2 linked regions of the Canis lupus familiaris genome follow. The protein of the gene in region 2 purifies or fractionates together with the protein of the main gene of each other region. This does not show direct contact. Links are inferred from orthologs where the notes say so. Each region holds a gene or a part of one and is shown on either strand. Other genes may lie near its edges. The genes, in order: CTCF and RPS9.

The links.
Region 1: the proteins of RPS9 (region 2) and CTCF purify together in Homo sapiens (affinity purification with mass spectrometry; 3 studies listed by BioGRID and IntAct, with this or other methods). This does not show direct contact. The link is inferred for Canis lupus familiaris from reciprocal best matches to the Homo sapiens genes RPS9 and CTCF.

The regions. Positions count from the first base shown.
Region 1 is NC_049226.1:82,418,322-82,422,132, forward strand, and holds part of CTCF (transcriptional repressor CTCF), read right to left. Parts: intron 1,440-3,811; coding exon 650-1,439; intron 306-649; coding exon 135-305; intron 1-134.
Region 2 is NC_049222.1:103,746,573-103,751,078, reverse strand, and holds the start of RPS9 (40S ribosomal protein S9), read right to left. Parts: upstream 3,099-4,506; 5' UTR 3,055-3,098; intron 2,903-3,054; 5' UTR 2,884-2,902; coding exon 2,787-2,883; intron 2,674-2,786; coding exon 2,551-2,673; intron 1-2,550. UniProt on the Homo sapiens protein: Component of the small ribosomal subunit. The ribosome is a large ribonucleoprotein complex responsible for the synthesis of proteins in the cell. Part of the small subunit (SSU) processome, first precursor of the small eukaryotic ribosomal subunit.

The sequences.
Region 1 (3,811 bases), on a different chromosome or scaffold from region 2:
TATAAATCAGGATTACAGCAGAAGAAAGAACAAAAATCATTCTTTAACTTCCCACGGGAACCAGCTTAGATAATACTTAAAACCGAAGTTTTAACCTTTACCATGTTATAGCCCCCAACATTCATATCCAGCACCTGTGTGTGTGTTAAGGTGATTCCTCAGGAGGGTGACTGTTCTGAATGCCCTGCCACAGAGATGGCACTTGTGTGGTCTCTCATCAGTGTGACTTTTCATGTGACGATCCAAATTTGAACGCCGTGGACATGTATAACTGCAAAGCTCACACTGGAATGTCTTCTTTACACCTATATGCAAAACAAAACACTTACTTGTTGCAAGTTTAACCCGAATGTTAAATTTCTACAAATAAACTTCATTAGCCTTTTTAACTATATTCAATCTAAGTCATGTTAAATCATTATTATTCAATGCCACTAAAAGATTTACTTTTTTGTCTTCAGGACTTAAAAAATACTCAGTGTGGAAAAACTTCTTTTAGACTGGTTAAAACGACTGGTACCCAGCTCATGATCTTAAAAAAACAAAACAAAAAACACTTACTATAAAATAATTTGCATATACCCTATGTTATTTATTTGCTTTATCCCAAAATGATTTTATGAGAGTAAAATGGATAAATTCATTTTACCTTTCTTTTTAATTTTTGTTGGTTTTGGAGGCTTCATGTTACCAACTACTTTCTCTGCATTAACCTCTGACAGCAGGCCCTCCTGCTGTTCTTCCTCAAAATCATAGACAGACACATCCACATCTTTGCCTTCCTCTGTGTAACGCAGTTTGCTCTTTTTGGTTTTCTTTGTTTTTTTGGCTGGTGGCTGATAATCTGGGTCTTTTTGCCAACTAGGATCTTCTTGAGGTGGAAGTTCCCCTTGCTCTAGCGTCTCCACCTCTCCATTGGCACCTACTTTCACCACTTGAAACCCTTCAGGCAAAGGTAAGGTGTGACATATCATGGGTTCGCTTTCTGCAAGGCCCTCTTTAGATACTTCATTCTCATAAGCCCCCTGAAGTTCCTCAACTGAAGTGGTAGCAACAGGTACAGTCACAGGAACAGGTACTTGGACAAGCTGAAGCTCTCCTATGTTTATAGGCTGTTCTTCCATATTTACAACCTGCAAAGTTATGATCTGGGTATCGTCCACAGCAGCCTCTGCTTCTGGAGCGACTGTACCCTCCATTACTTCAGTCTTCATCTGAAGAAGGGTAGGATCCAGTTGTTCCATCATTACCATCTGTACACTGCTATTGACATCCTGGACCACCTCACCCCCATCAGTCTGGTTCTGGGGTAGGTGGCAAGTATCCTCTTCCTGGCCCCCTTCCCGGCGTCTCTGATAAGTCTTTCTTTCCTTTCCTTTAATGAAAGTTTCAGACTCTTCCACAATGGCTTCAACCGCCTCACCTTCCATTTCCCCTTCCTTTATAAGGGAGAACACAGCTTGTTATTAATCTATTCATTCATTTATTCCACAGATTGTTATTTAAAATAAAGCTTGTCTAAATGAAAATAAATACATTTTAAAACAAAAACGATCCCTGACAAATTAATTAGGAAATCAATGGTTGTTAAATTACAAAAAGACACAACAGATATTATGTGCCTCCTGATGGAAGAACAAACTACCCCCTATGAAGCAGTCTTATTATAAAAAACAAAAAATCTGAAACTAATCAAGTCTCTAGCTCCAACCACCAATTAACAGGAAATTGGTGACAGAGTATGTTAAATTACACTACAGGGATGAAATCAGCGTAATCCCAACTGAAGGAAACTATGCAGGACTAACTACCCAGTTTCTTCTGCAAATAAATCACCAAGGCAAAAAATGGGAAGGATAGAGGGAGAATTTACATATCAGTGGTTCTCAACCTGGGTAACTTTGCCTCTGGGGGCATTCGGCAAGGCCTGTGACATTTCTGGTTGTCAATACTGGGGTAGATATGCTACTAGCATCTCTAGTGGGTAGAGGCCAAATATATTACTAAATATTCTGATATGCATAGGTTCAATCCTCCACAACAAAGAATTATTGGCCCCCAAATGTCAATAATGCTGAGGTTGAGAAACCCTGATAAAAAGAGATATAAGAAATACAATAATGGGGCACCTAGGTATGTCTCAGTTGAACCTCCAGCTCTTGATTTTAGCTCAGGTCAAGATCTCAGGGTCCTGTGATCAAGCCAGGCCTGTAGACCTCTGCGCTCAGCAGGGAGTCTGCTTGAGGCTCTCTTCCCCCTCTGCCCCTCCCCCTGCTCGCTCTCTCTCTCTCTCTCTCTCTCTCACACACACACACACACACACACACACACACACACGTGCGCGTGTTCTCTCTCTTAAACAAATAAAATCTTTAAAGAAATATAGCAATCAATCACAACATATGGATCTCTTTGGATCCTAATTCAAACCAACAAACAATGTAAAAAAAAATAGGACATGAGACAATTAGATTCAACTCTGGATTTTTTTTTCAACTCTGGATATTTGATGATATTAAAGAACTGTTAACAAAATTAGTTTAAATCCTTTACATTTCCTGTAACTATTAATAAAAACACTGACAGAGGGCCTGGCTATTTTTCACTAAATTCTACCTTAGAAAAATACCCCATCATAGTGTTTCCTCACTCTATTTTTTTGGAATCAGAATCAGACCTTGGATCCAGACTCCAATGGTCCTGAGAGTGACTACCACACAACACTACCTCCTGTGTCATACCATCAACTTGACATTCATTTATTTCTCCTCTGTGAAACCACCAATTCCTTGAGGACAGGGACCATGTCTAACAAGTTGTTTTTGTTCCTCAGCACTACACTCAGGTTGGTAGGTACTCAACTAATTGAACATATTTTAAAAAACAGGAAAAGAAAAATGAGCCAATTCAGTTTCCAGCTCTTAAGCCTTGTGAATACCAAAGTACCCAGATACCTAACAGTAAAATGGGTCTGAACAATCATCTAATTCACAAAAAAATTTGACTTAAGTATATACAAGGTTAATTCAAAATTAAAGTGTTTTGTATTCTTGCCCTAGTCTTACACAAAGCTTTTGTTACTTCTATTAGAGAAACATTTCTCCAATTTGGGTACCTTAACACTATACCCATGCTGGTAGTCAGGACCACCCACAAGGTAGTACAAAGACTACAAAGAGCTGGTTCTGCATTCAAGGAGTTACTGTCTATTTTAATAAACCAAAGCTTATTTACTTAAGTAATTTCTATACCCAATGTGGGGATTGAACTCATAACCCCGAGATCAAGGGTCACCATGCTCTTCTGACTGAGCCAGCCAGGCATCCCTAAAGAGTTACTATCTAACTTAAGGGACAGAACAGCTACAATGGTTCTAGGTAAAAGTAGGTAGGTTCTGAGAACTCTACTCAACTGGTGTGAACTAGTCACACTGTAAATTCTCAATAGTCACATGGGGCTACCCTGTTGGACAGCACTGTTTTATATCTTTGTTTCTCAAAGCATGGTCTAAGGACTAGCAGCAATGGCATAACCTGGAACTTGTTAGAAGCATAGAATTTCAGGCTCTACTCTTTGTTTCTTAAACAATTATATTTGTGGGGTTTTTAAAGTTTTTTTTTTTTAATTTAAGTAATCTCTACACCCAATATAGGGCTTGAACTTACAACCCTGAGATCAAGAGTTACATACTCTTCTAAGCAAGCCAGCCAGGCACCCCTTCAGGTTCTCCTCTTGATCCACAGGATCAGAATCTGCAATTTAATAGATCTCCAGGGACGCCTGGGTGGCTCAGCGGTTAAGCATCTGCCTT
Region 2 (4,506 bases):
GGCACAATCACTATGGAAAACAGTACGGAGGTTCCTCAAAAGACAAAAACAGAATGATGACACGCAACAATCCCACTTCTGGGCATTTAAATTTTTTTTTAAAAATATTTTATTTGTGAGAGAGAGAGAGAGAGAGAGAGAGGAGAGAGAGAGGCAGAGACACAGGCAGAGGGAGAAGCAGGCTCCATGCAGGGAGCCCGATGTGGGACTGGATCCCCAGTCTCCAGGATCATGCCCTGGGCCCAAAGGCAGGCACTAAACCGCTGAGCCACCCACGGATCTCATACTTCTGGGTATTTATCCAAAGGATATGAAATTGCTAACTGGAAGAGAAGCTCCCTTGCAGATTATTTCCAAGGGCCACGACACAAACAATGTGAGAGCCCACGGATGGTTGAACAAGTAACAAAGGTGGTAAGACGCACACACTGGGGTGGAGGTGTGGGGGTATTCCTCAGCCACAATAAGAACAAAATCTCACCACCTAGAACGTGGATGGACCCTGAGGACATTGTGCCAAGTGGACTAAATCAATTCCCATGATCTTGCTTATACAGAGACTAAACAAAACCATCATCACCACCAAAATACACATCAAGTCCATAAAGAATAGATTATGGTGGTTGCCAGAGGCACAGGGGGGATGGGTCAAGGTGTTCAAATGATAAACTTCCAGTTAGGATACTGAATATTGCTAAGTTGCTAAAATAACATTTTTAAAGACTGTGACAGAAATTAACTAGATTTATTGTAATCATTTCATGGCATATAGAAATACCAAATCACTGCTATACATCATACCCTAGTTAAAAAAAACCCAGTAACATTCAAATACTAATACAAAAAAGACACTCATAGGCAATTGGGATTACCTACCAGTAAGACACTTACGCCTTTTTGTTCTTATGCTAGAAAACACAAACTTGATGAGAATTCAAACTTTATAATCTCTTTAGAGACTTCTAGGGAAAATAAGACCACCATCATCAGAAACAAACGTTATTTCTTGTTTACTATTAAACCACCTACACACTGAGGAAAGCCAGCATTCCATCAACACCAGAACAGCCTTATCTACATGTAAGAACTAAAATAATTTTCAATGCACACTGAATAAACTTTGCATCTTCAACAGGAGTATGTCCAACCACTGAAAGATCACGTGGGCTCCGTTTGGCCAAAACAAGAATCAGGACATTTTACAAACGTAAAAGCAATGAGGACAATTCTCAGACGCATACGTCTTTCCCTGTCATCATGACACAAGGCAACTCAAGTACCTCAGTTTCTGATCTGAAAAACGGATGCAATACCAGTTTCTTTACGGCTGCCGTGAGAATAGGATGAAGCCCACACCTGTATGAACCCTCCGCCACACGTTGGCTGTTGGTTTACGAGTCAGTCTCTTGAACAGGCAAGCAGAGAAGTTTTCTGCCCAAAGTCATAGGCCTCGGTGGGATGGATTGGACCCCAGGCTCTATGAGTGAGACAACTCTCCAATAGACTGGCAGAGCTTCCAGGGTTCCTCCTTCTTGTCCCTTGGAGTTAAATGCCTTATTTACTTGAAAGCCTACAACCTGTGGTGCTGCCTACCTCCTGTAACTCACTCCTCTTCTGCCACAGGGAACCACAAGTACTCCTGGGTTACCTGCTGCTCAACCCCACCCAGTCCGCCACATGAATGCTTATCCAACCAAGGACCTGACCTAGCTGTATCTTCACAAAGTTCCTCCACCTTCAACTAGCTGTGGGATAAAGTCCCCTGCAAGCAACCACAGGGGAGGGAATTCCTGAATTTTCAGAATTGGGTAATGAATCTGCAATGTTAAACCGCCTTCAAGTCCTCCTCAATATAGAAAATGAAAGACCACCCACACTTAACAGTGACAACTCAAGTTAAGTTTCCTTTTTAAGTATACACTGAGAAAGAAATCAAACTAGTAACTTCGAAAATTCAGGAAAAAACCAGGCATTATTCCCAGCCCCTCCTGCCTTTCACCATAAACCAAGATTCCCTAAGCTCAGGCCCAAAGCAACATCAGGATAGCCATTGAGGCAGCCAATTTTAGGGGTTGGCGCAAAACAAGCAACCTGTGTGGTAATTTACTCCCATATAAGCACTTATAAAACACAAGCTACCTCCTTCCAAACCAGTACGTTATCAAAGTCCTTTACCTTTCACAGGTAGCATTTCAACCGTAGGCCAAGTTCCCTAAGCTTCCTCTAAAAATCACAGCCCATCCCCACCACAGTTCGCCCCCCAGTCCCACTACAGTGAGAGGCCCCTGACTGCCCCTCTACCACTGTAAGGCTTCCGTGCAGATCCAACGACTCAGAAGAAGCACTTTAAAAGAATGCAGTTAGGGATGCCTGGGTAGCTCTGGCTGAGCGTCTGCCTTTGGCTTAGGTCATGATCCTGGGATGGAATCCTGCATCAGGCTCCCTGCAAGGAACCTGCTTCGTCACGCACCCAAGGGAGAGGGGTACACCTGAATGCAGACCTGCTATCTCCACCTCATCGGAGACAGGCCCGTGCACGCTCACACACACCTTCGAACAGGCGCCGCGGGTCCTTTTCGTCCAGCGTCAGCAGCTCCCGGGCGGCCTTGCGGATCTTGGCCAGGGTAAACTTGACCCTCCAGACCTCACGTTTGTTCCGGAGCCCGTACTCGCCTGCGGAGACAGGGCACTGGCTGGCGGGGGGCCCGGCAGGTGGCGCAGAGCCAGCACGCGGCGGCCTCGCCCACCCCTCACCCGGAAGCGGAAGCCGGGTCCAGGCTACTCACCGATCAGTTTCAGTTCCTGGTCGAGGCGCGACTTCTCGAAGGGCCTCCGAGGGGTCACATAAGTCTTACGACACACCCAGCTCCGGGCCACTGGCATGTTGGCTCCGCGCGTCCGCCTGCGCGGGAGGGCAAGAAGGGCCCGTGTGGGCGTGGACGGCGCCTACGCGGCCCCCTAGCGAACCCACACTCCCGCGCTGCAGTCTCATCTGACCGTCTCCGACCTCGCAACCCACCCCCTGACCCGCGGGCACAACACACTACTCCTTACCGTGAGCTCCCAGACCGGAGAAAGAGAAGCACGCGGCCCCCGAGCACGCTTTTATAGCAACGCCGCGGCCTGGTGACGTCAGCGCGCACGCCGCACACCTGCACCAATCAGAAGAGGCGTAGGCGGACGGGAAAAAGCATTCGAGACGAGAGGTTGGGCCAGAGCGACGAGCGCGCGCAGGCAGGCACGCCGGGAAGGGTGCAGTTGACCCGTCCGGCTGGCGAGCCTCTGCGTTGGGAGCTGGTGTCGGTGCTCCCGGGGCTGCGGTCGCTCCCGCTCGGTGGAGCTGGGGCCTGGCGACCTTCCAGGAGGGGCCCCGAAAGTTCCTGAGCCCCGATGTGGCCGGCTTTCATGTCGGAGGAGGAGCGTCCTGCTGAAGCACGGCCGGAGCCAGCAGGGCGCACCCCGGCTGCACACCTGGTCGGGCAGCAGGTGCACAGGCCCGGCCTCGGGGGCACATGGGTGCCCTGCCCGAACGCGCCCCCCGCACCCTCGCGTCCCGGCAGGACTGCAGTTCGACCTCCCTGGCGTCCTCATCCCAGGAGTTGGGCCTCACCTGAAGGCCCGCGCCTGGTGCCTTCGGCTCCCGGTCCGGGGGCGTCGCCCTCCTGCAGCACAGGCCTCATTCACCGGAACCGCCGGGGTAGCCTGCGGTTGCCTTTGGGTTTCCAGGACAGGAGAAATGTTTTGAAACTTATTGCTATGGTTGAAGCTGTGGTCAATGTATACAATGGGATTTTCCTCAGCCATTAGAAACGACGAATACCCACCATTTGCTTCGAGGTGGATGGAACTAGACGGTATTATGCTGACTGAAATAAGTCATTCAGAGAAGGACAAACATTATATGGTTTCACTCATATGGGGAATATAAAAAGTAGTGAAAGGGATTGTAAGGGAAAGGAGAGAAAATGAGTGGGAAAAATTAGAGGGTGACAGAACATGAGAGACTCCTAACTCTGGGAAACGAACAAGGGGTAGTGGAAGGGGAGGCCGGGAGGGGGATGGGGTGACTGGGTGACGGGCGCTGAGGGGGCACTTGACGGGATGAGCACTGGGTGTTATGTTGGCAAATTGAAAGCCAATACAAATTGTAAGTTTTAACAAGATTTCTAACAGCAAAAAAAGAAAAAAGTTCTTGCTACCTGTTGGCCTCCCCCTTGGTGCCATTTATCACCTGCAGGAACTTACACCATTTCTTGACCTCCTTTCTGGACATCTTACCCTCCCAGGGGCTCTGGGATGACAGGCACACCCTGGGGACACTGGGGTCTTAGTTCTAGGCCTGCAAGAGAGCAGATGTTGCAAAAGAAAAATGAATTGTTTGGTTTCCCAGTGCATCTGTAAGTTCTGTTCATATTATATGGTGGTCTATTAGGTGTGGAATAGCAGTATGTCTAAACAACCACAATGTACACATCTTAATAAAAAAATATTTTATTGCTAACAAAT